Linked DNA regions of Mus musculus. The protein of the gene in region 1 purifies or fractionates together with the protein of each later gene. This does not show direct contact. Links are inferred from orthologs where the notes say so. Each region holds a gene or a part of one and is shown in the gene's direction. Other genes may lie near its edges.

Region 1 (4,189 bases):
TGGGATTAAAGACATATGCCACCCACTCTGGGGATAGAGGCAGGCAGATTTCTGAGTCGAAGACTCAGTTGAAATAAGGAGATCTGACGCCCTTCTGGTCTGGTGTGTGTCTGAAGGCAGCTACAGTGTACTTAATAAATAAATAAATAAATAAATAAATCTTTAAAAAAAAAAAAGGCAGGTGTGGTGGGGCATGCCTTTAATCACAGCACTCCGGAGGCAGAGGCAGGCAGATGTCTGAGTTCGAGCCCAGCCTGGTCTACAAAGTGAGTTCCAGGACAGCCAGGGCTATACAGAGAAACCCTATCTTGAAAAACAAACAAACAAACAAAAAAGCAAAAACAAACGAAGAAACAACCCCGCCCCCCCACCCCCACGTCCCCCCCAAACAACAACTTAGGCTTTCAGTTTAGAAAAATTAAGTTCTGGGTAGGTGAGATGGTTGCTGCCACCATGCCTGACCCAAATTTTCTGGATGGATCGCCCCGCCCCCACCCAGAGCCATTACATAGGAACACTCCCTCCAACACTCCCTCCAGTAAATTAAAAACTAAACACCAAGTTCTGTTACTTTGTCACAGTGCTCGGGCATATTGGATTTTGTCTTTTTTTAAAAAAAATATGTACAATTGGAGACGGAATTTAATTTGTAACACTGAATAAGCTCTTCAGCTTTACCTGTAAAATTGTTTTGTTATTTTTTGAGACATGCTTTCACTACGGAGAGCAAGTTGGCCTCAGATTACAGAGATCTTCCTGACTCTGCCTCCTGAGTGCTGGGATCAAAGACATAGCAACCACGCCCAACTGAAAACGAGCTTTGACATTAAAAAAGAAAAGTCCGTCAGAACTTATGAGCACATAAAGGTCTTGCCCCACTACAGTAGGCCTCTGGATATTTTCTTTCTGTTCCTTGCCATTCATTTCTCTCTCCAGTTCTAATCCAGACCAAACCTAGTCTTTTAGCTGCGTGACCTTGCGCAAGCATCTTTCCCCGGGAAGCCTCGGCGTATTCTCGGTAAAACGAGAAAGTTGGCCTCTGATCTTTGCACACGCTCCCAACTGTGAAGCGGGCTGCAGAGTTTACGGAGCCGACTCCCTCTCCCGGGACTCGATGGTACGGCCCCCGGTCTCCCCCACCCCTCCGCGCCGGACTTTGGTACAGGCCCAGGGGGCCCGCGGTGGCTTCTCTAAGCTGCCCTTGCCCCCCGCCGAGTTCCGGGCCCGACCCCGCGCATGCCGATTGGTTAGAGTGAGGCCCGGGCTGTGCGGCTATAGGTGATCCCGGGGGTGGGCGGGGCTTCGAGGCCGGCCCCTCCCCCTGGTCGGACGCCGTAAGGAGCCGCGGGCGGGCGGGCGGACAGACTGACGGGAGGGCCGGGCGGCGAGCAAGATGGCGCAGACTCAGGGCACCAAGAGGAAAGTCTGTTACTACTACGACGGTGAGCTGCGGGTGGGCGGCGCGGGCCGGGCGTTGGGGAAAGGCTGGGGGAGGAGGCTGGGAGGAGGCTGAAGCCCCGGGGAGGCTGAGGGAAAGTCGAGGCTGAAGGAGGAGGTTGGAGAGAGGAAGTCGAGGCTGAGGCCGGAGATGAGGTGGGGGTCGTGGAAGGGGTAGTCTGCGGTAATCCCGGTGGCGGAGATTCTCGGGGAATCCGACCTGAAGTTGGAGTGGGATTCCTGGAGGGAAGCCTAAGTGGCGGCGGGGATCGGAATATGATGGAGACGGTTTGCCTGGATATCTTCCCCTGCTGAGAATACAAAGGTTTTTCACTGTCCCCATTCACTCTCTCTCTTTTTCTTTCTTTCTTTTGGTGAGTTCTGCAGGACTGGCCACTCATCCCCTCCCCCACTCCATCCCCCAAGTCTATGAGTAGGGCCTGCAGTTGCTAGTTGGGAAATGGGGCTCCCCGGGGATGCAAGAAGAGAGGTGCATGAAACTTGTTAAAACGACTTTTCATTGAGCCAGCGCGAGCATCTTACTCTGTCCTGGGTTGTGTTTCTGTTGGGGCTGGAGGGCTCATCGAGGCACATTTCCTGTGTTGAGTTCCCGTCTGAAGGGGGAGCTAGACAATGTCACAGGTATCTTTCGGTGTTAGCGCTGGGACAAGGGAATGTGGGGTGGAGGAGAACACAGCAGGAGCCTCAGCCCAACCTGAGAGGAGCAGGTTGTGTGTCAGTGCTTAGGACCCAAGAACTGGAGTTACAAGCCAGGCCCTGGCAAGTGGAGCCAACAGCAGGGGGAGGGGACAGCACCTTTATCTGAGAAAGGGTCTCACAGTGTAACTCAGCTGGTCTTGGATTAAGCCCCTTCTTCTTACTCTTGACTCCAGGCTTACACCACTTGGTCCAGCATTTGTGTTTTGGGAATAGCAGTTGAGTTGTTCAGGGGACATCTAGCCAGCCAGCCAGTAGGCGGTTGGCTGTTTAGATCTGAAATTTAGAAGACAGATATTTTTTGGTAATTGTCGGTATAAAATAATTCAGATAGTAATTTTAGCTGGATTAGAAAAGGGTGTTATAACTCCAGTTGTAGAGGGTGAAGAGCTATGTTGATACTTTTTTTTTTTTTTTGGAAATGGCCTCTGTGTAACCCTGGCTAGCCTGGAACTCACTTTGTAGACCAGGTTTGCTTCCTACTGGAAGAGATTTATCCTACCCCCCTCCCGAGTGCTAGGATTAAAGGCATGTGCCACAACCCTGGCCTGTTTTAATTCTGAAGAAGTGGACTAAGAAGGTTCAGTGGTCCTGATTGCTCTTTCACTATGCTGTCTTTCAACTGTTAGCCACATTCCTGTTTCAGTCTTTCCCAGTGCTGTGGGGTGACGGAGCCACCAAGCCTGGTGTCTTCTTGTTTCTGTTCTGTTTTGTTTTTAAGGCAGGGTCTGTCTCTAACAGCCCTAGCTGTCCTGGAAGTTGCTTTGTAGACCAACTAGGCTGGCCTCTGAACTCAGAGAGATCCCCCTGCCTCTGCCTCCTGAGTATTAAAGGGGTGCACCACTGTCTAGCAGCCTCATTTTTTGTTTCGGTTCTTTTTGTTTGTTTGGTTTGGTTTGGTTTGGTTTTGGTTTTTTGAGACAGTTTCTCTGCGTAGCCCTGGCTGTCCTGGAACTTACTCTCTAGACCAGGCTGGCCTCAAACTTAGAAATCCGTCTGCCTCTGGCCACCAAGTGCTGGGAATTTTTTTTCTTCTTCTTGTTTTTTGTAGATAATACATTTCTTGGAGAAAAGTCTCCTTATCTCCACTTCCTAAAAGATTGGGTAGTATAATAGGCATAATTTTTTTAAAGAATTATTTATTTTATGTATGTGAGCACACTGTAGATGTCTTTAGACACACCAGATCTCATTACAGATGGTTGTGAGCCACCATGTGGTTGCTGGGAAACGAACCCAGGACCTCTGGAAGATCAGTATGTGCTCCCAACTGGTGAGCCATCTCTCCAGCCCCATAATTTTTTTTGAGATTATAATAGAATTACATAATTTCCCCTCCTTTTCTCTCTTTTTTTCTTCAAGACAGGATTTCTCTGTATAGCCCTGGCTGTCCTGAAACTGGTGCTGTAGACCACTAGATTGTTCTTGGACTCACAGAGATCCTCCTTTCTCTGCCTCTCAGGTGCTGGGATTAAAGGCCAGCCCTAATACTTCCTTGCAGAGGTTTTCCTTGCTTTGTTAACTGGAGAAAGCAGGGCCCTGAGAGATGGCTCAGTAGTTGGTAGTGTGTACAGCCCTTGCAGAGGACAAAGCTCAGTTCCTAGCATCCACCTTGGGAGGCTCACAGATGCCTGTGACTCCAGCTACAGGGACCCAGCGCCCTCTTCTGGCTTCCACACCGCCCTGCACTCACGGGTACATCCATACCACACACACACACCAGTTTAGAGCATTTCCTACTGAGATGCTGCGCTCAATTCCCAGGGCCCCCCACAGCCACTTGTAACTCCAGTTGGAAGGAATCCAGTGACCTCTTCGCGCTTCAAGTGCTAGATGGGAATGTGGTGCTTGGACATACATGCAGGCAAAACTTCACACACACAAAAGACTGTCCTAGAACTGGTCTATTAGACGAGGCAGCTGTGAACTCAAGGAGATCTGCCACCTAGTTTTCCTGCTGGGACTAAAGCCTGCACTAATGGGGAAGTGCTGGGAGGGATTGGGGCGGAAGCTAGATTGGAGAGAAGAGGATACT
Region 2 (3,751 bases), on another chromosome or scaffold:
AAGCGGAGCCCACACACAAAGACTCTGCATGCTTGTTCTCACCTATGTCTGCGCAGCCGGCGGTGCAGAGACGTGCATTTCCCTGTACTCCTCGCATTCTATGTGTGCCTTATCTCTTAGCAAGCGTAGGAGAGTAGATGGGTGAGCATGGGAGAAGACAATATTTACAATACTCCAGAGAAAACGCAGCTTACCTTTGATGGGTTTTTAGGCAATTTAATAAGACCATTGTGTAAAATTTTACTAACAGTTTAAAGAATTTCAGGCCAAAGTAACCAAAAGAAAAAAGAAGACTCAGTTATTAAAATTAAAGGTGAAAATCAGGGAAACATTATCAGAGGTAATGGTCAAATCCAAAGAATCATTAGGGCTTTGAAAATATGTATTACAGTAAATTAGAATATCTCACAGAAACGGGTAAGTTCACAGGTACATCTGACCTGCCAGTGTTAAACTAAGAAGATAGAAACAACTTACACAGACCTAAGACAAGCAATAAAATATCTCCCAACTGAAAAATACCCGGTCCTAAATGGAATCATGGCTGAATTCTGTCAGATATTTGAAGAGATAACGTAAATCCTCCTTAAACTGTTCCATAAAGTAGAAAGGGGAAGAATATCAACAAACTTATTTTCCAAAGCCAGCATTACTTTTATACCCAAACCAGGTAAAAGAAGAAAAGAAAAGAAAAGAAGAGAAAAGAAAAGAAAAGAAAAGAAAAGAAAAGAAAAGAGAAAAGGAAGGAAAGGATAAGCCGATTCATACATTCCCAATAAAATAATAGAATGAAATGAAAAATATACAAACGGGAAAGGAAGAGATGAAAGAGCCCTATCCACAGACAATATTGTCCCACACACAAGAGCCCAGGGCTGCACTGGAGAGGCTTAGCTCTGATTGAGGATCAGCCTGCGTCATCACCACACAGACCCCGTGGTTTTCCTATATCGATAGTGAGTGTGTCGAGAAAGAAGTCAGCAAACGCGACGGCCGAGCACAGTCACAGGCATCCCCGATAGCTTCAACATGAGCAAATAAAACTCCTGGCAATAAACTAACCATGTGAAAAGTCCTTTACAGTGAACATGTTAAGACACGGAAGAAGAAAGAGATGTCAATCAATGATGGAAAGGCCTCCCATGTTCCTGGGAGTTAACAGAGTTACTACCACAAAAATATGGCCAAGTGTGGTCTGTAGATTGAATGCAATCCACAATGCCAATACCGTTCCTCCTAGAAAATAAAGTTCACTTGGGACGACAAAAGGTCTCAGGTAGCCAAAGCTATAGGATAGTAAGAATATTTCAGAGGTATCACAGCTGCTGATATCAGAGGTATCATAGCTGCTGATTCCAGGTCACACTACAGAGCCATGGTAACAAAAAAAGCATGGAAGTGGGGTCAAAACAGACGTGTAAATCAGCAGAAGAGGAGAGTCAGAAAGGAACACAATGTAGCCACCTGATACCCGAGAAAGATGCCAAAATGTGCATTAGAGAAAAGACGGGCTGGAGAAGAAGTGATGCCGGTGGGGAACCGGCTAGCACATATAAGGAAGGGAACCAGATCCCAGGCTCCTACCCTACCAACCAATTCAACACGGAGCAGAGATCTTAATGGAAAAGGTAATGGTCTGAAACAGCTAAAGGAAAACATGCAGAAAACGCTTCGTGATGTAGGCAAGCCCTTTCCGAAAAGGGCTCCAGCAACTCAGGAAATAAAATGGAGAACTAGCAACTGAGATTCAAAGGCGTCACAGCAGAGGAAACAGTTTCCTGAGTTGAAGAGACGACAGCCTTCAGTGGGGGAAAGAATTGTTGCTAGCTATGTAGCTGACAGATTAGTATCTAGGTTCTATAAAAACTCAAAAAAAATTAAATTCTGGAAACAAACAACCCAGTAAATAAATGCGCTCAGAAGAAAGAGAGGGTTCTCCAACAATGAGTGCAAACAGCCAACAAATGTGAAAGCATGCTTCACACCCTTAGTCTTTAAAGTTCCTCTGAGGTCCCACCTCACCCTGGTCAGAAGTCATTAAGAAAACAAGTCCAGGAGCCTGCCAAGTAGCTCAGGTGGTACAGTACTTACCTCTTGTGTAAGAAGTCCTGGGTTTGATTCCCAGCACTCCCTACAAACGGCTGCACTCCCAGATGAGTTCAAGGTCGTCCCCAGATGTGTGTAGCAGATGTCTTAGCAGGTAACCCATACAAAGCCTGCTGCCCTGAATTCAGTCTCCAGGACCCACATGGTAGAAGGAGAGAACCCCTCCCCTCAGGTGGTCCTCTACCCTAAACACACGTGTGTTATGACCAACAAATGCAAGAATGTAAATAAGAAAATCAAAATGGAGATTTAGAATAACATGAAGTAAAACTGCATAGACACAGCTATCCACTCCTGCGGATATTTACAAAACTCTAACTCCACGTACTATAACATACATATTTCCCTGCACATATGTGTTTATTTCAGCCATATTCAAGAGCTACATCAAACAACCACCGTAGCTCTCCATTAGCAGATGATGGATTAAGAAAGCATGATATACATGAGTAATGGAGTTTTTTTTCAGCCATTAAAAAAAAAAAAGAAAAAAGAAAGAAGGGCTGGAGAGATGCCTCAGCAGTTAAGAGCACTGACTGCTCTTCCAGAGGTCCTGAGTTCAAATCCCAGCAACCACATGGTGGCTCACAACCATCTGTCATGGAACTCGATACCCTCTTCTCTTGTGTCTGAAGACAGCTATAGTCTACTCACATACATAAAATAAAAATAAATCTTTATTTTTAAAAAAGAAGGGAAGAAAAAGAAAAGAAACATTTGCAGGGCAGTGTATGCAACTGGAGATCTCTGTATCAAGAGAAATAAGCCAGAACAAAGAAGATGAACATCACCTACCGTCTCTCTCGGTTCTAGATCCTAGGTTTTATATAGATGTACATAAGATATTTTGCATATGCGTGCATAGGATATGAAAGTAAGAGGAAGGTACTCCGTTGGTAGGGAGGGGACGAGTGGATATGAGGAGGGGAGAAGGGGCCTTAGGTACGGTCACAGTGCTTGTTCTAGGATGAAAATGTTTTCAGGGAGTTATCCCGATGAGCACTGAGTATATGCCAAGAAAGACTTTAAGGAAGTGTTTCTAGAGGAAAAGAATTGGTCTTTGAGGCCATTTGCTGTCAAATGTTCACACTCTGACCTGCCTGGGCATGAGCAGACTGTTCTCTGTGACCCTAGACAGAGAGAAGGAGATCATCCGCCAGGCAGCCGTGCAGCAGACCAAGGAGATGGACCTGAGCGTGGTGCGCCTCATGTTCACAGCCTTCCTCCCTGACAGCACTGGCAGCTTCACTCGGAGACTGGAGCCTGTGGTGTCAGACGCCATCTATGATAGCAGTGAGTACTCGTTCCCAAGATGGGACAGTTTCATCTAGCTGCATGGAGGGCAGGGCCACTATGTCACTTACTCCCCAGAGCTGAGGCCTGCAGACTGGGACCTAGTCACATAGAGCCTCTAGTTTATTGTCTACAAAGTTAATACTGCAGTCTAGGGTAAAGGGTCAATATCCAGTTAAGCGTCTTAAGAACATGTCTGCCAAGGTAACACGTCTTCCTCAGAGAGTGCATTATATTCCTTACATGTAACACCAGTTTCTTACTATGAACACATGACTGTAAGGATAGATTGCTGGTGCTCTAAAAAAAATTACCTTAATTTTTGCACCTGGCAGCACGGAAGAAAAATTGA
Region 3 (3,751 bases), on another chromosome or scaffold:
AAAGGTTGTTGTGGAGTAGTTAAGTTACCAAGTGAAGACAGTTGTTTTCTCTTAAAAGACTTTCCCTAACTTAATAGCTCTGAACTCTGTTGATTGTTCTGTGTGGGGGAACTGTGGCCAGAGTTTACAGAGATACAGAATATGCCAGGAAGGAAAAGGAAGGTACTGAGAACATGGCAAGTTGTTGTTGCGAAGCCCTAAAATAAATCACTTTTATTTATCCATACAGAAAACAAGCACGAGGCCAAGAGGAGGCGAACAGAGAGAGTTAGGCGAGAGAAGATAAATTCTACAGTAAATAAAGATTTAGAAAACAGAAAGAGATCTCGAAGTAACAGCCATTCAGATCATATCAGACGAGGGAGAGGACGACCTAAAAGTTCATCCGCCAAAAAACACGAGGAAGAGAGAGGTATGGTTAATCCCAGCACCCTTTCAAATATCAAACTGATAAAAGGTAATGAGTAGGTAATAGTAGTGAGTATAATGGAAGCTTTGAGCTCTTGAACGGAAAAAAAAGAAAAATCACGATTCATTTTTGATTTAAAAACATTTTCTTGGACTGGAGAGATGGCTCAGTGGTTAAGAGCACTGACTGCTCTTCCAGAGGTCCTGAGTTCAATTCTCAGCAACCACATGGTGGCTCACAACCATTTGTAATGGGATCCGATGCCTTCTTCTGGTGTGTCTGAAGAAAGCTACAGTGTTCTCATAAAAATAAATCTTTTTTTTTTTAAAAAAAAAGAATTAAAGTAGTCTTTAAAATTTTTTTTTCTTTTTTTTTTGTTGCAGTGCTGAGTTTTGAGCGCAGTACACAGGTCTACTTCTGACCCCACACTCGCAGCCCATACATTCTTAGTTTTAAAAATCAAAACAAAACACAGATTCTTATTGGAAACCTAAAGGGTTACATTAGGTAAAATTCCATATTGTTATAAATTAGTGGTAAAAGGTTCAAAGATTTTTTTTTTGTTTTTTTGTTTTTTTTGTTTTTTTTTTTTTGTTTTTTTGTTTTTGTTTTTTTTTGTTTTTCGAGACAGGCTTTCTCTGTGTAGTCCTGACTGTCCTGGAATTCACTTTGTAGACCAGGCTGGCCCCGAACTCAGAAATCTGCCTGCCTGTGCCTCCCAAGGGCTGGGATTAAAGGTGTGCGCCACCACCGCCGGGCTGATAATTGTATATTTAAGTCATCTTTCAGATACCAGTAAAAATTATTGTACTTTGTTTTTGTTTTTTGATTGTTTTAAAGCAGGTCTAAGCAGTTAGTTTAACTAACTGTTCTATGGATTTGAAATCTGTTTTTATATATTTTTTAAAGTGATGTTGGTGTGCAGTTTTTAATTGCTCTTTGGGGGTTCTAGTGCTTCCTCCCCAGCTAGCTTTGCATGGTTAGTGTGTTCTTGATCACTCTGTCTCTCCTTCCAGGTCTCTCTTCTGAGAAGCAGTTTCCACTCATCACTTAGTTCTAGACTTAACAGCTTCTCTCTTTCTGTGATGGATACATCTTTAAAAAGTTTTATCATGGAAAAATGCCACATAAAAAAAGAGTAGGAAGAATGACGTCACAGCCTCGATAACGTATACAGATTGATACAGATTTGAAACTAGTAATTATAGCTGTTCTTTGTATTTATTTAGAACCCTCAGCCAACACAATTTCATTTTCAATGAAATATATTTATAACTGTTGTTGGTTACATTTTGCATTGCTTTAAGTACTTAATTTTAGGTATACAAAAATTTAGTATAAAAATATAAATGTTAGCTGGGCGTGGTGGCGCACACACCTTTAATCCCAGCATGATTTGAGACACAGAATTACTCATGGTTTCTCGGACATATATTGTCTTTAGCTTTTACCAAAATGAAAGGTGTTTTGATACTGTGTAAATACAGAAGTAAAGTTTGTACCTGAGTGAAAGGCTTCCCATAGGTGATTCTCAACTCTTTGTGTAATCTTACTTTTTTTCTTCCTGTTATACTCTTCCAGTCATTTACTTAATTTAAATACACTTATTTAACAATGAGGTCATCAGAAAATCTTATTTGAAAGACTGTTTTGGAACAGAAACCTGGCAAGAAAAGTCCACAGAGAAGAAACAAAAAGTTCTACTTAGTCAGAAAATAGAACTTGGTTTTCAGTTGAAATAAAGGCTGGAAAATGATGGGAGGGGGTGCTTTTGAATTGAGATTAAAGAAATGTCTGCTGGCAGCTGGGGAAGGAAAGGCTATTGCTGGGCATAGATGCATTTTACGTTCGCAGCGCTGGAATTTTATTCTTACTTGAAAAGGGAAGCATTTATTGTCAGTGAGTATTTTTCAGATATTTTCTGTGTAAGAATATTTTTTTGCTGACAGTAGTGCTATGTGCCACTGATCCCAGCACTGGGAGACCAAGGCAGACGACCGCTGTCTCCTAAGAAAGCCATTGTTCCCCCAGTTCTTGGTTCGGGAACATGAACCTTACGCATGCTAGGCAACTATTCCACAGAACTACATCCCTAGAAGCCAAATTATTAATTTTTTTCTTTTGATATGAATTTCGGGAAATGTTATGGTACAATCCTATTTTTTTTTCCACTTTTAAAAAAAATGGTACCTTGGTATTTAACTTTTCCCCTTTTCTTTCCACAGAAAAACAGGAAAAGGAAATCGACATCTATGCTAACCTCTCTGATGAGAAGGCTTTCGTGTTTTCAGTTGCCTTGGCAGAAATAAATAGAAAAATTATCAATCAAAGACTTATTCTCTGATATTTGTCTTCAAACTCTGTTGGTTGCCACTTTCTTCAGGATTGCATCAGCAGATCCTCAGGCAGTCGTGGACTCTGAGGAGCACCAGACTGTGTGAATGAGGGCCTTTGGTTGCTTTCTCTGTTTCCTAGTCTGCTGCCACGCTTTGGGAGCAAAGCTGTGCGTTAGACTTTGCTGGGATTTCCTTGTTTACCAAGGATCATTATCAGTGTTTTGTGTTGGGATATTACTAAATGTATTTACAAAGACAAACAAACAAAATGACCAGAAAAGCCCCGGAACCTGGATGGGTCTTTCCCGATTGGAGGGACAGGAGTACGGGTGGAACACACAGCTGGAGCAGCTGACGTGCTTGCTAGTTTTCAGGTTCGCACCAGAGATGCAGTGTCTTAAGTCCTGTCAGGAGAGTGACTTTTAAATGTATGTATTTCAGGCTTTCACCATTAACAGATTGCATATATACAATCCATTGACTTTTAATAAATTGGTAATTGATATTTTATTGAATGGAGAATTACGAATATAGATTATAAATTCTGTCTTTAATTGACCTTTTTCTTGGGCGCTATTTTAATGATTTAAGTAGGAGTTATATTTTCAGAAACTTTCTAGACAGTTTGGAAATTTGGGTGCTATATGAAGAAAAGCATTTGAGGCTGTATCATATTTCAGATATAAACACCTTGTTTTCTTGAATGTTTTATTTATTGGTTTTTAAAAAAAACTTTTCTGTTATCAAGATGGTGCCTGTTAACCTAAACACAGATATATTTATTATATAAATTGCAAAATATTTCTTAGCTACTTGTGAACAGTGATTTTTTTTTGTCTGAATGTTCATTTATACATAATTCTGGTAATTATTTAAATTGTTACTTCATCCTGGAAAAAAATAAACCTTAATATTGAAAGCGAGTAGATTAAGTAGTGTGGTGTAGCTTTTTGTCCTAGTGAAGTTTGTAAAGTGTTTCAGCCAGTTTTTGCAGTATTAAATCATC
Region 4 (4,202 bases), on another chromosome or scaffold:
AATTTACGCCATTACATTGCAAAATAAGGAATAGATCATACTTTTTCATAACATGACCACATAGGAGCAGTTTTAATTTTAAGAGTCAAGCACCTACATTAATCTGAGTCTAATATAATAGGCCTCTGATTTAAAATCTCCTAACATTCTTTCACACTTCATAAAACTAAAAATAAAACCGCCTCACCAAATAGTGACCTAGGGTCCGGCAGACATACTGTATTTCAAGGAAAACTGAAACACTAGCTCTCCAAACCACTACGTGCAGGCAAATTGCAGTTTGTAGCCTTAATTGGTCTTAAATGTGGGGTGGAAGAGAGAGGAGACTTCGGTCTGTAGAGATTGAGATTTATTTCCCTTTTTAAATCAAAAGCAGATCCCATGGTTCAGCTGCCCCCTGACTCTCCCGCCCTACCCTCGCGGGTCGTTCTCTCCTCCCACATTTTTATGTATATTTTATTCGAAGACGACAGGTGAGGGGAGGTGAAAGTGCTTCGTGCCTTTCCGAAGTAAACAGAGGGGTTAGGAGGGTTTATCTGGGTTTATTTATTTACTAGGCGGCCGGCCTCTCAGCTGTTTCTCTTCTCTGGCATTTGGAAGCTTGCAGTCCTTTAGGGATGAGACAGATTTGGCAAGCTCGCTCTTTGTGCCGCCTCCCTTTTCACTGGGGGCTGGGGATGGGTGGGAAGAACGCAAATTTATGACAGCCTTGAGAGAAACGGGGAGGAGGCGGGGGTCGAAAAAGTTTCAGCTCGTATGATAATGCCCATTCCCTCCCACCCCCGCGGCCAACACTGCCACAAACAGCTTTGGTGCCACCCGGAGCCCTGCCCCCGCCGTCCCCTCCCTTTCTCTCTGCAGGCTCGAGCTGGCAGGCGCAGGCACACTTAAATTCCAGCACGGTCTCCACATTCCCCAGAACTACTACGCTCGATTACTACGGCTGCCCTCCCCTTCGCTTCGGGGGGTTCCCCCAGTCTCCTCGGAGAAGCTCGGAAGGCTACTGCCAGCTAAAGGATGTGCGGCTCCCGAGTCCAGCAGGGCTGCGGGCTGGTTGCTTGTCCTGCGCAGTTTCTCTGCTCCAGGCACAAACACGGCGGAGAGCCGGCGCCTCGCAGACACACACAGATCCACGCATACAGTAGAGCTGTCTAGATCCACATTCTTGCACACCGCCCCCTGCTCCCCCCGCGCGCTCCCGGAGTCGCTGAGCAGGGCGAGTGACAGGAGCGTCCCACCAACCCGCGCCGGGCCGGGCAGGGAGGAGCGGCTCGCGGGGCCAACTGCGGCGCGTCTTCCGGCGCCCGTGGAGGCGGCGAGGGTGGGACGCGGGGCGGAGCCCGAGTTTAGGAAGAGGAGGGGACGGCTGTCATCAATGAAGTCATATTCATAATCTAGTCCTCGCTCCCTCTGTTTCTGTACTCTGGGTGACTCAGAGAGGGAAGATTCAGCCAGCACACTGCTCGCGAGCAAGGTAAATATAACTTACAACTCCTTTCTCTTCTCTCCACGGCTCCGGCCTTACAGCAGCCGCAGCGGCCGCCGAACCCCTTGGGCACCGCGCCGCCTTCGCCCCGGATTATGCATCCTTATCCTAATCATTATTTATTGTGCATGCTGGAAGACCAAAACAAACAGGCGGGCCAACCGCTACAACAACAAAAAAGCCCGCCTCTTCCCCGCGGGCCTCAGGTGGAATGCTCTAACCACAGCTCCCGGGTGGCGATAAAAGAAACAAAGTTTCAACCGAACCTCGCCGTTCTAATAATAACAGTAATAATTACTACTTCGAGGGGGCAAGGAGAAGAAATCCCAACATGTCACAGCCTTGACCCTGGGCAGGTTGACAGTGATGCGCTGCCAACTCAGGGTTGCAACACACTCTCCGCCAGGTTGCATCCCCCCCCCCCTCCTATCCCCTAAAAAGCAGAGGTGGGGAGGGCTAGTGGCAAGAGGAGAGGGGGATTTGGGAACTCCGGGCCGGGGGGCGGAGGGGTTGGGAGGCGGGGGACTGGAAACGCGACAGTTCACCCCGAGCCATCCTCCCCGTTAGAGTTGGAAGGGAACAGGAAAGGAGGGAAGGAGGGTGAGGAGCCCGGGCTGGCGGCAGGGCGCCAACCAACACGGCTGCTATTCGCCTCCCGGGGACTTGTTTAAAGGGCTCCGGCTGCGGGGACGAGAGCAGATCTTGGCGGTAGTAGTCTGGGATGGCGCACTGAGCGGGCGGCGGCCACTACCACAGGGTTGGTGCCTTGGGGCTCCGAGGTGTCACCTCCACTCCCGGGGTTCCCTAGGGCAGGGAAGGGAATGTTGATTGGTGACAGGCCTTTAGGTGAAAGGGTTGGCCCCGGGGGCTATGGCCGTGGCGCCGCGGACCCTCTTGTCTGGTACCTAGAGGCAGCGCGGGCTAGGATGTTGAAGTTCGGGGTGTCCAGCCCGGGTCTCATTACAGAGGGTGGAAGGAAGCCCCAAGGAAAGAGGTCCGAGGTGTCCACTAGGCTCTGTTAGCCTCCCCTCCCCTCTCTGGGTTTGTTTTCTTTTGCTTGGTGTCTTTCCTTGGCAAGCGCCGAGGAAGCTGCAGACGCGGGGCGCCTGGGATGGTCTGAGTGTCAGGGGCGCACAGGGACCCGGGAGAGCCACGGCGGCTGAGGGCTGGGGAGGCCATGATCCGGATAATCCTCTCTGCCTGACTGTCACAACAGGACCCGCACGCACCCGGGCAGCGGCCGCGGCGTTCGCCCGGGAAGGGGAAGGGCTGCAGTGGGGAGGAAACAGGGGGTGGCGAAGGAGGGAGGCGGGGAGAGCCGGTGGGAGCCTCCTCCTAGCGATGACACTCACCCCTTCCTTCTTGCTCCCTGCTTTCGAGTTTGCTTTATTCCCATCCCAACATAGTTCACCCCTTCCCTTGCCTCCTCCTCCTCCCCCATCGCTGGGCTGCCTCCCCTCCCATTGGCGTTGCAAAACAGGGCCACGCCATCTGCATAGGTGTCGCGATGTACTTCCCCAAATCACCGGTCCAGCGCGCCAGCCCCTGGGCGCCCTCCAGCCACCAAGCGCACACCAGCACAGTGCCCCCCGGTGCCCCGCACCAGGCCGCGCAGCCTGGACGCAGTGACACCGCTCCGGGCGGGGCGCAGCGCTGAGGACTCTAGGGGACACCCGCGCTCCGGCCCGGGCGCTCACGCTGGTTTCCGGTACCTGCAGGAGATCGCCGGGTGCGGGTGTCTGCATTCACCCCTGCGGCCTGGATTACATTATTATTTTTTTATACCGGTTGCTATTCGCTGCGGATAGTGGTGAGCGCCGGGCTGGTAGGGCTGCCTGGGGGATGGGGGCGGAGGGAAGTTGGACACCAATCAACCCGGAAAAAAAAAGTTTGGCAGTGCTGCAAGTCGGATGGAGGGGCTGGAGGGGGCGGCGGGCTGGCGTGAGTGTGCAGTGCGCTAGGGACCAGTGAGTGGCGAGCTGCGCGGGCTGCGTCTCTAGCCGGAGCACTCCCGGGAGCCGGACGCAGAGCCGGCTGGGTCTGGCGGCGGGAGGCGGTGGCGGTGCGTGCGGCGGCGAGGGCGAGTGCGTGGCGCGCGCGAGCGGCGGAGAATCAGGAAGTCACCGCGGCGAAGCGCACAGACGTGTTTGATCGCCGTGACATGACGCGCGCGAGGGAGGAAGAGGAGGTGGCGGGGGCCGGGCCGCGGGCGCCGGCCTAAGCCGCGCTGTGCACACCGCTCCCTCGCAGCCCCGGGCGGCGCCAGCTCGAGAGCCCTGGCCGTTCAGCGTCGCCCAGGTAAGGAGCCGGCTCCTCCCGCTGTCGCCGCCGCCGCCCGCTGAGCTTTCTAGGTCTTTCTCTGCCGACCCCCCTCCCATCTTTGGCTCGCCTTCCGTGCAAAGTCAGGCAGGCAATCGATTGCAGGGAAAACTTTCCAGCGGGAGGCACTGCGCGGGGGAGATGGAGGCCTCGCGGGTGGCTGGCGTGGTCAGTTCTTTCTGCTCCAGGTCCGGAGAGAGTGAGTCGCTGTGCCCTGCGGCTGTTGCACGTTCAAACTTCGGGCCTAAATGTGCTTCCAACTCTCGCAGGATTTACTCCACGAAGAAAATAAACACCCCAAGCGGTCCACTCTCTCGCGGGGGCCCTTGGGGGTGTTTAAAGCGAAGGAGGATGGTGTAGGAGGGGAGAGAGCGAGGGCGTAGTGCAGAATCATTCC
Region 5 (3,751 bases), on another chromosome or scaffold:
TAGAGCAACAGTAAACAGGAGCGTGCTTGTTGCTTACATTGCCATGGTAGCTTCTTGTTGGTAGTCAGCTCTTAGTTATTTAAAGGGTTATAAAATATATACATTATTACTAACTTTCCCCATCTATGAATAACAGTAGGCAAAAATTAAAATAATTTTTCTTTTTATAGCATACTTGAGCAGTCTAAAAACCTTGTATAAGAGATTAAAATTTAGTATATAATGTATATTTCTATTGTGAATTAACAGTAAGTATCTAATAGCCTAATTCATTATTGAACATTATCATGACCTTTGCCCTTATAAATAACTGTAGGAAAAATAATTGACACAATCTCAGTATTTTGAGCATTTTTTTAGACTAGAGGCATTTTTGTTTGCTTGTGGTAATCTGGCTGCCTGAAACTCATGGTCGTCTTACCTCAGCTGGAGAATCCCCACCCCAAGTGTGGGATTGCAAGACTATATACCGCCAAGTCTGTTTACTGGAGGCTGTATTAACTCAGACTTTAAAATTCAAAGAACTAATCCCAGTACCTAGGGAGGCTGAGGCAGGAGAATTGCTGTGAGTTCAAGACTAACCTGTACTACATAGCAAGATGCTGTCTGAAAACAAACAGAAAACTAGCTAGTGGTGGTTGCAGCACTCCTTCCTTTAATTCCAGCACTCAGGAGGCAGAGGCAGAGGCAGAGGCAGGTGGATCTCTGAAAGTTTTAGGTTTACAGAGCAAGTTCCAGAACAGCCAGAGCTACACAGAGAAACCCTGTCTCAAAAAAACAAAAACAACCCCCCAACCCCCAAACCAATACTGAAATCTGGCTTGGAAATCTTGGAAATCCCTTTTTTGGTGGTTTTTTTGTTTGTTTGTTTTTTGTTTTGTTTTTTGTTTGTTTGTTTGTTTGTTTTGATGAAGGAGGATTCTGGACATTCTTTAAAAATTAAGACACTTCACTTACTTTGTATATATGTATATGTGTGTGTTTACATGTATATTACAGCATATGTGTAAAGACTAGACACTTCCACGTGTGTTCTGAGTATTGAACTCAGAGTGTTAGCAAGCACCTTTACTCACCAAGCCATCTCAACAGCCCTAAACACTCATCACAGTCTTCATTGTTCTGACATGGAGGGTATTGTTTGTTTTGTCTTGCTATGTCTCCCTGACTGACTGTAGCCCATGTTTTACTGAACTCTGAGCCCTATTCCTTCCTCGGCCTTTTGAATTTAGAGGTTATAGGTATGTGTTTCCACAGTTATTTGCATGTAAGTGTTGTTAGCATTGTTATTGCCCCTATTAATTTTTGTGAGCAGCGTACTCTGTGAACTTACTAGTGTAGAGGACACTGCTTTTAGAAGTGACGTTGCATATCTGGGTGCCTCTTGTATCAAGCATCAAAGCTTTGTATAAAGCTGTTAAAAGTTCCCAACCTTCCTAATGCTCACCGTCATGTTGTGATGACCACTGTCTTAGTTAGGGGTTTTTCTGCTGTGAACAGACACCATGACCAAGACAACTCTTAGAACAACTTTTAATTGGGGTTGGCTTACAGGTTCAGAGGTTTAGTCCAATATCAAGATAGGAACATAGTAGCATCTAGGCAGGCATGGTACAGAAGAAGCTGAGAGTTCTACATCTTCATCTCAAGGCCACTAGAAGAAGACTGGCTCCCACATGGTTAGAAGGAGAGTCTCTTTGCCCACCCCACAGTGACACACTTCTTCCAGCAAGGCCACACCTCCTAATATTGCTACTCCCTGGGCCAGAGATATTCAAACCCCAATCATAAAGTTATTTTTGTTGCTACTTCATAACTGTAATATTGCTAATGTTAAGGATTGTAAATATCTGATATGCAGGATATCTGATATGTGACATCCCCCTCCTTAAAGATTTTGTGACCCCACTGTATCAAAGAGACATTATGGTAAATTATTATAATAAAGTAGAGAACCATTATGATATTTGTTTTTGTTTTTTTATTCTCTAATTACATGTTAGAATTATATACATCACCAGATATTATAGTGCAAGAAAGTTTTTTTTTTTCCCCTGTGGATTAGTTTTGCTTCTGATAATGGGTCTCATGTATCCTGGGCTAACTTTGAACTCACTGTGTAGCTAAACTTATCTCCATACTGACTCTACCTCCAAAACATTGTGATTAGACTTGTGCCAACACACTAGACCCTATTAAATCATGATGTATAAATTCTGCATTAATTTTCTCAATAGTTATTTAGACATATTGTATTAATGTAAAAGCTTGTTATACTGAACAAAGCATTGCGGTAATGATAACATGTCTGCTCAAAGTATTTGAAATAATCTTGGGCTTCTGCATCTTAGTGACACCCTGTAAGTGAGCAGCTTATAAAGACACATATTTGTTACATTGGTTCTCTTGGCTCAAAGACCTATAATGTCTACTTGTTAAATTCCTAGTATTTTTATATAAACTAAAAAAAATCTTATTAAAATGTTAGTAGCTGCATAATTGTACCCAGTGCTTTATGTTTTCTGAAAAAGCTTAGTGTTGATTTATCTTATTTAATTAATCCTTTCTACAGGTGATGGACCTCAGTGTAGAGATTATGTGATAAGTCTTGGAGTTGTAAAACCTCTGCTTTCATTCATAAGTCCATCTATTCCTATAACATTCTTAAGAAATGTTACCTGGGTTATGGTCAATTTATGTCGCCACAAAGACCCACCACCACCAATGGAGACAATTCAGGAGGTAAATAAAAGAAAAAAATAGTTAGATACCATTTTATGTTTTTTCTTTTAATCAGTATGTTTAAGTTGTACATATTTCTCTCCTCAGATTCTTCCAGCTCTTTGTGTATTAATTCATCACACAGATGTAAATGTGAGTAAATTCTTCTCGTATATTAATAAATGTATGTATGTGTGTATGTATATCTTCTGGACTCCCACTATGATATTGGACTGAAAACAGTGTGTAATTGTATTCTGTCATACTTTACCATTTCAAGAGTTAAGGTACTTATTTGTTATGTTTCCATTTCCTCTGTTTCTGTAGCTTCAGTGAGGAGTCAAACCTGTTACAAAGATGCAGTTAGTCATCTCCTCTCATCAGGATTGATTGTTCTTGACATTTATGCTTACTCCAGCTGCCATCTGGCTTTTGAGAATATATACACATGGTTGTGTTTTTGTATTTTGAAGCATAAGTGAATATTTAGCTTAAATACTAATTCGAGCGTGCATGCGTGTGTGTGTGTGTGTGTGTGTGTGTGCGTGTGCGTGTGCGTGTGCGTGCGTGTGTGTGCGCGCGCGCACATGTGTATGTCAAACTATGAAAACCTATTGTTCCTCAGTTCCATTTTTCAGTCTTATTTCTCCAGTTATAGCAAAGTTCTTTGATTAAATACAAATTTTAGTGTTTTGTTTTTTCAAAGATTTGCAAGACATTGGAAAGTATTCTAATATCCAACAACTTTGTTTTTCTTTCCACTTGTTTCCTAACTCTTGTTTATCTGCCACAAGATGAGCTTGTGCTTCAATGTTTACTTTTAATAGGTCTTGAATATTTTTTTGTTTGAATTTTTCTTTTAAGGACTATCTTCCACAAATACTATATCATTTACTAAATAATATTTGCTATATGTTATATTAGTTAGAAATTCACTCTTAAATCAGCCCTCAAAGACTTAAAAGGAGAAATTACATTGTAGTTATATGTAGTTACAAATATGTAAGAATTCTAATTGGATTTGAAGAAT
Region 6 (3,751 bases), on another chromosome or scaffold:
ACCGCCCTGATGGATCGCAGCAGAGAGGCTGAGATGGAGCTGAGGAGAGGACCCAGCCCACCCAGGGCTGGCAGGAGCCACGAAGTGGATGGGGACAAGGCTGCCTGCCACAGCTGCTGCATCTGTGGCAAGAGCTTTCCTTTCCAGAGCTCCCTGTCACAGCACATGCGCAAGCACACGGGAGAGAAGCCCTACAAGTGTCCCTACTGTGATCACAGGGCTTCCCAGAAGGGCAACCTCAAGATTCATATCCGCAGCCACCGGACAGGAACTCTGATTCAGGGGCACGAGCCAGAGGCGGGAGAGGCTCAGCTGGGTGAGATGCGTGTCTCTGAGGGCCTGGATGGGTGTGCCAGCCCTACTAAGAGCACCTCTGCCTGTAACCGCGTGCTGAACGGGGCCGTGCCGATGGACGGCAGCAAGATTCTGCTCAGGAGCAGCCGCAAGGAGGTGGAGGGTGCGGCCAGCGCCCAGGAAGACACTGAGGCCACGGTGCCGTGCTCCTTCTGTAAGAGCCGGTTCGAGCGCAAGAAGGACCTGGAGCTGCATGTGCACCAGGCCCACAAGCCGTTCAAGTGCAGGCTGTGCAGCTATGTCACCCTGCGGGAGGAGTCTCTGCTCAGCCACATAGAGAGGGACCACATCACCGCACAGGTGCCCAATGGCAGCGAGGCCTGTGTGGAGAACGGCAAACCTGAGCTGAGCCCTGGGGAGTTTCCCTGCGAGGTGTGTGGCCAGGCCTTCAGCCAGACCTGGTTCCTGAAGGCACACATGAAGAAACACCGGGGCTCCTTTGACCACGGCTGCCACATCTGCGGCCGGAGATTCAAAGAGCCTTGGTTCCTCAAGAACCATATGAAGGCGCATGGACCCAAGGCAGGAAGCAAGAACAGACCCAAGAGTGAGCTGGATCCCATTGCCACCATCAACAATGTGGTGCAGGAGGAAGTCATTGTCGCTGGCCTGTCCCTCTATGAGGTCTGCACAAAGTGCGGGAACCTGTTTACAAACCTGGACAGCTTGAACGCCCATAACGCCATACACCGTAAAGTTGAAGCCAGCCGGATTCGAGCCCCGGCTGAGGAGGGGGACTCAGAGGACCCCCTGGACACTAAGCAGTTCTTCTTACAGTGCCTGAATCTGACACCATATGTGGCTGGTGATGTGTCCCCCGGTGGGCAGGCTGGACGGCGGGTGGCTGAATTGGACCCCGTCAACAGCTATCAGGCCTGGCAGCTAGCTACCAGGGGTAAGGTGGCTGAGCCGGCCGAGTACCTCAAGTACGGGACCTGGGACGAGGCGCTGGCAGGGGATGTAGCCTTTGACAAAGACAAGCGTGAGTATATACTGGTGAGCCAGGAAAAACGCAAGCGTGAACAGGATGCTCCGGCTACCCAAGCTCCCCCGAGGAAGAGGGCCAGTGTACCTGGGGACCCCATGCTTTCTGGCCACCTTGATCCCCGGCCAACCTCACGCCCCAACCGCAGGGCCTCGGCCACCACTGGCCAGGGCAAGTCCTCTGAGTGCTTCGAGTGCGGCAAGATCTTCCGCACCTACCACCAGATGGTGCTCCACTCCCGCGTGCACCGCCGTGCACGCCGTGACAGGGATCCTGAAGGGGACAGAGCAGCGCGTGCCCGTTGCGGTTCACTCAGCGAGGGTGACTCGGCTTCCCAGCCAAGCAGCCCTGGCTCAGCCTGCGCCATTGCTGACTCCCCTGGCCTGGCTGAGGAAGTGGTGGATGACAGTGGTGAAGAGGCTGTGCCTGAACCCGCATCAGGTGAGCAGGCGTACCTGGGCGGATGAGGTTCAAGTACCCCGTGTAGCCCTTTGCCCGGCTGGCCCTGTACTCAAGCAGTCTTGGTGGAGGGACTGTGTCCGCAGGTGCTCCTATGTTTTGGTGACCTTGTGCCCTGTTTCTGGCTCTGGCTTTGAGGCTGTGCACTGGGTATCCTGCACCTTCTGGGTTCTGGAGGCTCTGCTGGTCTGACTGATGCTGTCAGTTCCTCCTCTCTCTCTTTTCTGCTACTCACATACAGATGCTGAGTTAATTAATTAATTAATGAATTAATGAACACTTTTGGCTTCTTAAGTCTAGGGTCTCATCTGGGTGTCTGTATTCTATAAGTAAGGAGTAAGTTCCTCTGAAATGTCCTTTTGTTCTCTATGTGTGACACAAATATACACACACGTGTGCATGCTTAGAATACACACAAACGATACCACATATAAACACCAAAACACTAAAACCATACACATACTTGCACATGTACAGTCACACATTCACATACACAGACATGCACATACACATGCACACATGTGCACATCACATACACATATGACAAACATGTTTGTGGAAATGGACCATAGATAGTATGGTGGTTTGAAAGAATGGCCCCATAGGCTCATGTGTTTGAAATCATCAGCTGTGGCAGTGTTTGAAAGGATTAGAAGGATTAAAAGGTATAAACTATTGGAGTGGGTGTGGCCTTGTTGGAGGGAGCATGTCACGGGACCCCGGCACTCTTTCCTTTCTGCTCTCCTGCCTGGGGATCAGGATGTGGCGCTCGCAGCTCCAGGGCCTTCCTGCATGTCACCAAGCTCCCCACCGTGATGGTAATGGGTGAAATCTCTGACACTGTAAGCAAGCTTCAGTTAAATGCTTTCTTCTATAAGAGTTGCTGTGGTCACGGGGCCTCTCCACGGCAACAGAACAGCGACTGGGACAGATACTGCAAACACACATACACAAACACACGTGCACATACACAAATATGCAATGGGTACATGCACATATGTACACATCACATATTCAGACATACCATACACCCCAAAATACACACTTACTCTGCACAACCACATATGCGTACACGCACAAACATACATAAGCATGAATATGCACACATCACACAGGCATATAAATACTACACATAGACACCCCAGACACATGCATATATAAAAAATATGCATATACACAAACATGGATGTGATCACACATGCAAGGAAGCCTAAATGGACACCAAAAATAAACATGTATACTTGCTTACACACAGATAAGTACACACACATATGAATACATAAACGTGTACATATTGCAACACATGCATAAATACACACATGTAGAGGTTATAAACATAGAACACTTACTGATATACAATCATACCTGCCCACATATTTAGCATGTACTGAATACATGTCACGTGCTTGTTCTTGCACACACATACACAGGTGTACACACATTCACACACACACACACACAAAATACATGCTAATGCACACACGCATTCCTCTCCACTCTCACTGCCAGACATCTGGATGAAGGCTAACTTAGAATCTCTGTGTAGTTATAACTAATCTCTTCAGATTCAGATAACCCTTCGGGCTGAGAGACTGTTAGTTGGAGCAGATTTCTTTCCAAACAGCAGCCATGAGAATGTTTCCAGAACCCTGGCTTGGCGTTTCATGGTTTCCCCATTTTAAAAATAATAAACCTTGAGCATTGCCTTTGTTATTTTGCCATGGGCAGTTGCCGCGAGGAAAGGCAGTGCTGAGGTGTGAACCGTGGCTGCACGTGGCCAGCATGCTTCCTTGTCTAGCAGCTGTTGGGGGCTGTTGCTTTTACTTGAGGTGGGGTGCTTACAGGCAGAGGAGCCCACTGCAGAGCTCTTGTGTCTGCAGCAAGGAAGAGGAAACAGGTGCCGCCTTTCCTTGCTAGGGGCCCAAGTGAGTCTGACATTAGATTTGCATAGTG
Region 7 (4,268 bases), on another chromosome or scaffold:
ACGTGGTGCCCTGGAGGGACCCCTGGGAACCATTTTATGTGGCTGGAGGAAAGGTGCCCACATTTGACGAACGCTTTCGGCAGTATGGTTTCAATCGAATCAGCCAGGTACTTAAAAGGGAGAGGGCATGTAGGACTAAGACTGGAGGCGTGTCAGGGGTGAAGTGGCCATTGGTGGAAAGGAGGCAGTGAAGCAAGAAGAAAGTGGTTGGATGATGGAGAATTGAGGACAGTGGAGTGGAACTTTAGGGATGATCATGTGGGCCCTGGGGATATCATTAAGTTATTGTGATTAAATCACTGTGACCTCTCCCTGTCTCTCTCCCTCTCTTCCCTCTCCCCTCCTCTATCTCTCCCTCCCCCCCCCCCGCCCCTTTTCCAGGCTTGTGAGCTGCACGTGGCAGGGTTTAATTTTGAGGTGCTGAACGAAGGTTTTCTGGTTCATAAGGGATTCAAGGAGGCATTGAAGTTCCATCCCCAAAAGGAGGCTGAAAACCAGCGCAATAAGATCCTTTACCGCCAGTTCAAACAGGAGTTGAAGGCTAGGTACCCCAACTCTCCCCACCGATGCTGAGTCCTTGTCTTCCATGGTCTGAGAATTGTCAGTATCTGGCTCCAGGCCTGACTGGGGTAAGAAACATGCCTCCACTTTACAGAGGTAGCTATGGGTTTGGAACACTGGACTTGACTATGGGGTGCTGGGAGTCAAGTCTCAGCTTTACCACTAACTAGCTGTGTGGCCTTGAGCAAATACTATTACTTCTCTGAGCCTCCGTTACGCCGTCTGTAAAAAGGGAGGTGAAAATACCTACCTCACAGAACTGTTGGCTCAGATGAGACGCTGTATGTGTAAACATCCTGTAAACTTCGTACAAATGTGAAGTATTATTAATATTGCTACAGTGTTATTATGATATTGTTACTATTAACCATGTTGGGTGGATAGCGGCAGAGCAAAAAGTTTGAATGGGCTAGAGGTGGGAAGCTTGAGTGTTTAATAAAATGAGGCTTTTGGAAAGAAAGATGAAAACGTAGAATGTAGTGCTAAGAACGTTTCCCGTTCTCTCATGCCTTCGCCCTCCGCCCTCCGAGATCCCTGAAGGAGGAAAGAGATAAAGGTTAAAGTCCCAGATCTGTGCCCTCCAGTAGGTTGGGCTGCTCATTTGCCTTCGGATGACATTATGTAAATAAACGAATGTCACACCCACAGCTGGCTCTGTTACTCTCCTAAGCCGAGGGGTGGTGGGCCGGAGCACCGTGTTAGACGGCGGTGGACCCAAGGACACCGACCACAATGCTAGGACAGGCTGAAGGCCTGGGTTACTGGGGGCCAGTTGCTATGGAGACCCGTCCGCCGTATCCCGGCATGCCTGGACACCAGTGGTTCCATTGTAAGCGCCACAAATGGGCGCCTCCTGATGACGCACACGGAAGCGTCGACACCTCCTGGAGAAAGAGAATCCTGCGCAGCACTGTTCCGGAGATCAACGGCGGCGGCGTTCACACCCTGGGTCGGACAGCTCTCCGGGAGTCCTGGACGTGAGGCCGGAGGCCCCAGTGTCTGCGGTGCGTATGGCCACGCCCGGCGCTGGGTTGGGCTTTCCGGATCGGAGCTAAAGCAGAGACTTAACCGGCCCGACTCGCGCGCTGGCCTGAGAGGAGCCCGCGGTTCCGAGGGTGGATCGAGGTGGGATAGTTCCTTGCGCCGCAGAGTTTGTCCTCTGTGTCTGTAGGGAGGGGTCTGCTTTCCCTGGAGGTTTGCTGTGGAGGTGCTTATACACCGCGCGTTTACCGTGTGCCTCTTCCACTCCCTACAACCCTCAGCAATGGTATATCCCCTATTTGTACCCGGGTTAAGGAGGGACGATTGGTTGTGACTTCATTTAACGAAGTCAGGATCAGAGTCAGCTGGAGGAAGGAGATCCTTGAATTCATCCTGCGTCTTAGAAAGAGTATATACAACGGTGAAAAGGAATTGCCAGTGTGGAGGGTCTGAGGCGTGAAAAGGGGAACAGTGAGGCTGTTTTGGAGATCTGGATTTTCAGAGCAGGAGGAAATGCTACTAAACTCTCCTGCAGGTCCGGCGCTATAATTACTTGCATGGGTGTGAAGGAGCGTTACTCCAAGTAGGGTTGCCAAGAAGGAAAAGCCAGTTTCTATACTGCAAAAGTTTATGTTGTTTAATTTGGGTTTAGAAATTCCCAGTCATCAAGTGAGCTGGCACTGCACTGGGCGAGTAGGACAGCCTGCTGCCCTGTCCTGATGAAACACCCACATTTCACTGGGTGGTCGGACATGAGACTGGGAGAATATGAGATAAAAAACAAAGAAACCTTTAATCCCAGCACTAGGGAGGCAGAGGCAGGCAGATTTCTGAGTTCGAGGCCAGCCTGGTCTACAGAGTGAGTTCCAGGACAGCCAGGGCTACACAGAGAAACCCTGTCTCGAAAAAAACAAAACAAAAAAAAACTTCCTGGGGGAAGGAGTTATGCCTTCCCCATGGGAAAGACTTACAGAGCAGCAACCAGAGATGTAGAAATCACACCAGTGTGAACTAGAAGCATCTACATCCAAGATGACCTATTCTCTCTGGGGGCCTGGCAGTATCAATCTCTCGTTGTCTCCTTCCTTCTGAAAATACCTTCCACCCTAACTCTTGGATTTTCAATCTGTTCTGCAGAGGTTTCTCCTCCTGCCTCCTTTGTTGACCTTGGGAATTCCAACAGAGGCCCCTTCTCACAGTTCCGCCTGAAAAGTCAGACTGCACAAAGCCTAAATAACTTGCCGTATGTAGCTAGAGGAGCCTGGGTCTAGTGGAAGTTCACATGCCTGTGTCCCTGGTCCCTTTTCTCACTTCTAGGTCTTTGTACTTGTTTTTCACTCTGCCTGGAATGTTCCATCTCAGGCGGCCTGGTCCTCACCTAGTCTGTCTCCCTCTGGAAGCTGTCACTGTAGCAGCAAGCTCCAGCTCCTGTGTAGACACCTCCCATAACACCTTAATTTGACTCTCTTCACACCATTATAAAGGTCTGCTTCTTTGCGTTTCTCCCAGAAATTTGTCATTTCCTCGAGGCCAAAGGCTGTCATAGCTATACTGTAGCATCTGCCACAGTCCACGGTGACTGTTGGTGCCTGGCACACTTTAGGTGCTTAGTAAATACTGGATAAGTAGGAAGAAAGGTAGGGGAGGGGCTTAGTGTTCACTGTTTCTGAAAGGTTACCTAAGGCAAGCACTGGCAAATGTTGGTGTTTGCTACAAGGAAATTGATTCGTAATTCTGCCGCAGTGGTTTTAGTGTGAGTGCTGGGTATCCAAACACTGAAAGAGGAGGAGGTGAAAGTCAGAATAGCAAGTGTGCGCAAGGCCCAGAGAACTACAGAAAATTAACTAAACGGGGCTGTTTCATATTTCTGCATTCATTCTTTTACCTACTCATTTGGATTTGACACAGCCTCACCAGCTATTGCTAGCCTGAAACTAACTGTATATCAGGCTGGGCTTGAATTTGTAGTAATCCCCCTGCCTCCTGAATGCTAAGATAACAGGCCTGTACCACCTCACTTGGCTTTATTTTTTTATTTGTGTTTGTTTTTTCCAGAGAGATCTAGTCTAGGTGCCTCTTCAGACAGCAATCTACCACTGACCTGTACCCCCAGACATACTGCTTTTGTGTCTTTTTAAGACAGAGCTTCGCTGTCTAACCCAGAATGGCCTCCTGCGTCAGCGTGTGGATTATGTATATGAACCTCATCAGGCTCTCTCTGCTTTTTAGTTTTTTTTTTCTCTCCAGTACTGGGAATTGAGACCTAGAATTGAATTCTAGAAACACCTCGAACTCAGAAATCCGCCTGCCTCTGCCTGTGCTGGGATTAAAGGCGTGCGCCACCACGCCCGGCCTTCTTTTCCTTTTTTTAAAAGATTTGTTTATTTTATGTAAATGAGAACACTGTAGCTGTCTTCAGACACACCAGAAGAGGGCATTGGATCCCATTACAGATGGTTGTGAGCTACCATGTGATTGCTGGGAATTGAACTCAGGGCCTCCGGAAGAGCAGTCAGTGTCCTCTTACCTGCTGAGCCGCCTCTCCAGCCCCTCCTGTTTTTCCTCAGGAAAACCCTGAGCTTCCGCATCTGAACTTCCACAGAGGAAGGTGCTTCCTGTTCACGTCCTTAGGAGTGCTAGGGGCTTAGGATATTGCTCAGTGGTAGTTGGGGCTCAGCATTTATGGGAATCTGAGTTCAATCCTTAGTCCTTCACCAAAACAAAAT

The links.
Region 2: the proteins of Hdac1 (region 1) and Nfkb1 purify together in Homo sapiens (affinity purification with western blotting; 3 studies listed by BioGRID and IntAct, with this or other methods). This does not show direct contact. The link is inferred for Mus musculus from reciprocal best matches to the Homo sapiens genes HDAC1 and NFKB1.
Region 3: the proteins of Hdac1 (region 1) and 4921524J17Rik purify together in Homo sapiens (co-immunoprecipitation; 4 studies listed by BioGRID and IntAct, counting the BioPlex papers as one, with this or other methods). This does not show direct contact. The link is inferred for Mus musculus from reciprocal best matches to the Homo sapiens genes HDAC1 and C16orf87.
Region 4: the proteins of Hdac1 (region 1) and Smarca2 purify together in Homo sapiens (affinity purification with western blotting; 4 studies listed by BioGRID and IntAct, with this or other methods). This does not show direct contact. The link is inferred for Mus musculus from reciprocal best matches to the Homo sapiens genes HDAC1 and SMARCA2.
Region 5: the proteins of Hdac1 (region 1) and Kpna4 purify together in Homo sapiens (affinity purification with mass spectrometry; 3 studies listed by BioGRID and IntAct, with this or other methods). This does not show direct contact. The link is inferred for Mus musculus from reciprocal best matches to the Homo sapiens genes HDAC1 and KPNA4.
Region 6: the proteins of Hdac1 (region 1) and Zfp516 purify together in Homo sapiens (co-immunoprecipitation; 5 studies listed by BioGRID and IntAct, counting the BioPlex papers as one, with this or other methods). This does not show direct contact. The link is inferred for Mus musculus from reciprocal best matches to the Homo sapiens genes HDAC1 and ZNF516.
Region 7: the proteins of Hdac1 (region 1) and Brms1 purify together in Homo sapiens (affinity purification with mass spectrometry; 7 studies listed by BioGRID and IntAct, counting the BioPlex papers as one, with this or other methods). This does not show direct contact. The link is inferred for Mus musculus from reciprocal best matches to the Homo sapiens genes HDAC1 and BRMS1.

The regions. Positions count from the first base shown.
Region 1 is NC_000070.6:129,539,834-129,544,022, reverse strand, and holds the start of Hdac1 (histone deacetylase 1), read left to right. Parts: upstream 1-1,376; 5' UTR 1,377-1,393; coding exon 1,394-1,442; intron 1,443-4,189. UniProt on the Homo sapiens protein: Histone deacetylase that catalyzes the deacetylation of lysine residues on the N-terminal part of the core histones (H2A, H2B, H3 and H4).
Region 2 is NC_000069.6:135,614,920-135,618,670, reverse strand, and holds part of Nfkb1 (nuclear factor NF-kappa-B p105 subunit), read left to right. Parts: intron 1-3,240; coding exon 3,241-3,399; intron 3,400-3,751.
Region 3 is NC_000074.6:85,408,774-85,412,524, reverse strand, and holds part of 4921524J17Rik (UPF0547 protein C16orf87 homolog), read left to right. Parts: intron 1-229; coding exon 230-412; intron 413-2,634; coding exon 2,635-2,753; 3' UTR 2,754-3,751.
Region 4 is NC_000085.6:26,603,760-26,607,961, forward strand, and holds the start of Smarca2 (probable global transcription activator SNF2L2), read left to right. Parts: upstream 1-1,400; 5' UTR 1,401-1,474; intron 1,475-1,489; exon of another isoform or gene 1,490-2,290; intron 2,291-2,391; exon of another isoform or gene 2,392-2,751; intron 2,752-2,814; exon of another isoform or gene 2,815-3,296; intron 3,297-3,382; exon of another isoform or gene 3,383-3,784; intron 3,785-4,202. UniProt on the Homo sapiens protein: ATPase involved in transcriptional activation and repression of select genes by chromatin remodeling (alteration of DNA-nucleosome topology).
Region 5 is NC_000069.6:69,088,899-69,092,649, reverse strand, and holds part of Kpna4 (importin subunit alpha-3), read left to right. Parts: intron 1-2,572; coding exon 2,573-2,742; intron 2,743-2,829; coding exon 2,830-2,874; intron 2,875-3,751. UniProt on the Homo sapiens protein: Functions in nuclear protein import as an adapter protein for nuclear receptor KPNB1. Binds specifically and directly to substrates containing either a simple or bipartite NLS motif.
Region 6 is NC_000084.6:82,955,670-82,959,420, forward strand, and holds part of Zfp516 (zinc finger protein 516), read left to right. Parts: 5' UTR 1-9; coding exon 10-1,780; intron 1,781-3,751. UniProt on the Homo sapiens protein: Transcriptional regulator that binds to the promoter and activates the transcription of genes promoting brown adipose tissue (BAT) differentiation.
Region 7 is NC_000085.6:5,039,926-5,044,193, forward strand, and holds the start of Brms1 (breast cancer metastasis-suppressor 1 homolog), read left to right. Parts: upstream 1-1,437; 5' UTR 1,438-1,565; exon of another isoform or gene 1,566-1,686; intron 1,687-4,268. Other genes in the region: B4gat1 (beta-1,4-glucuronyltransferase 1), read left to right, coding at 1-107, 382-573. UniProt on the Homo sapiens protein: Transcriptional repressor. Down-regulates transcription activation by NF-kappa-B by promoting the deacetylation of RELA at 'Lys-310'. Promotes HDAC1 binding to promoter regions.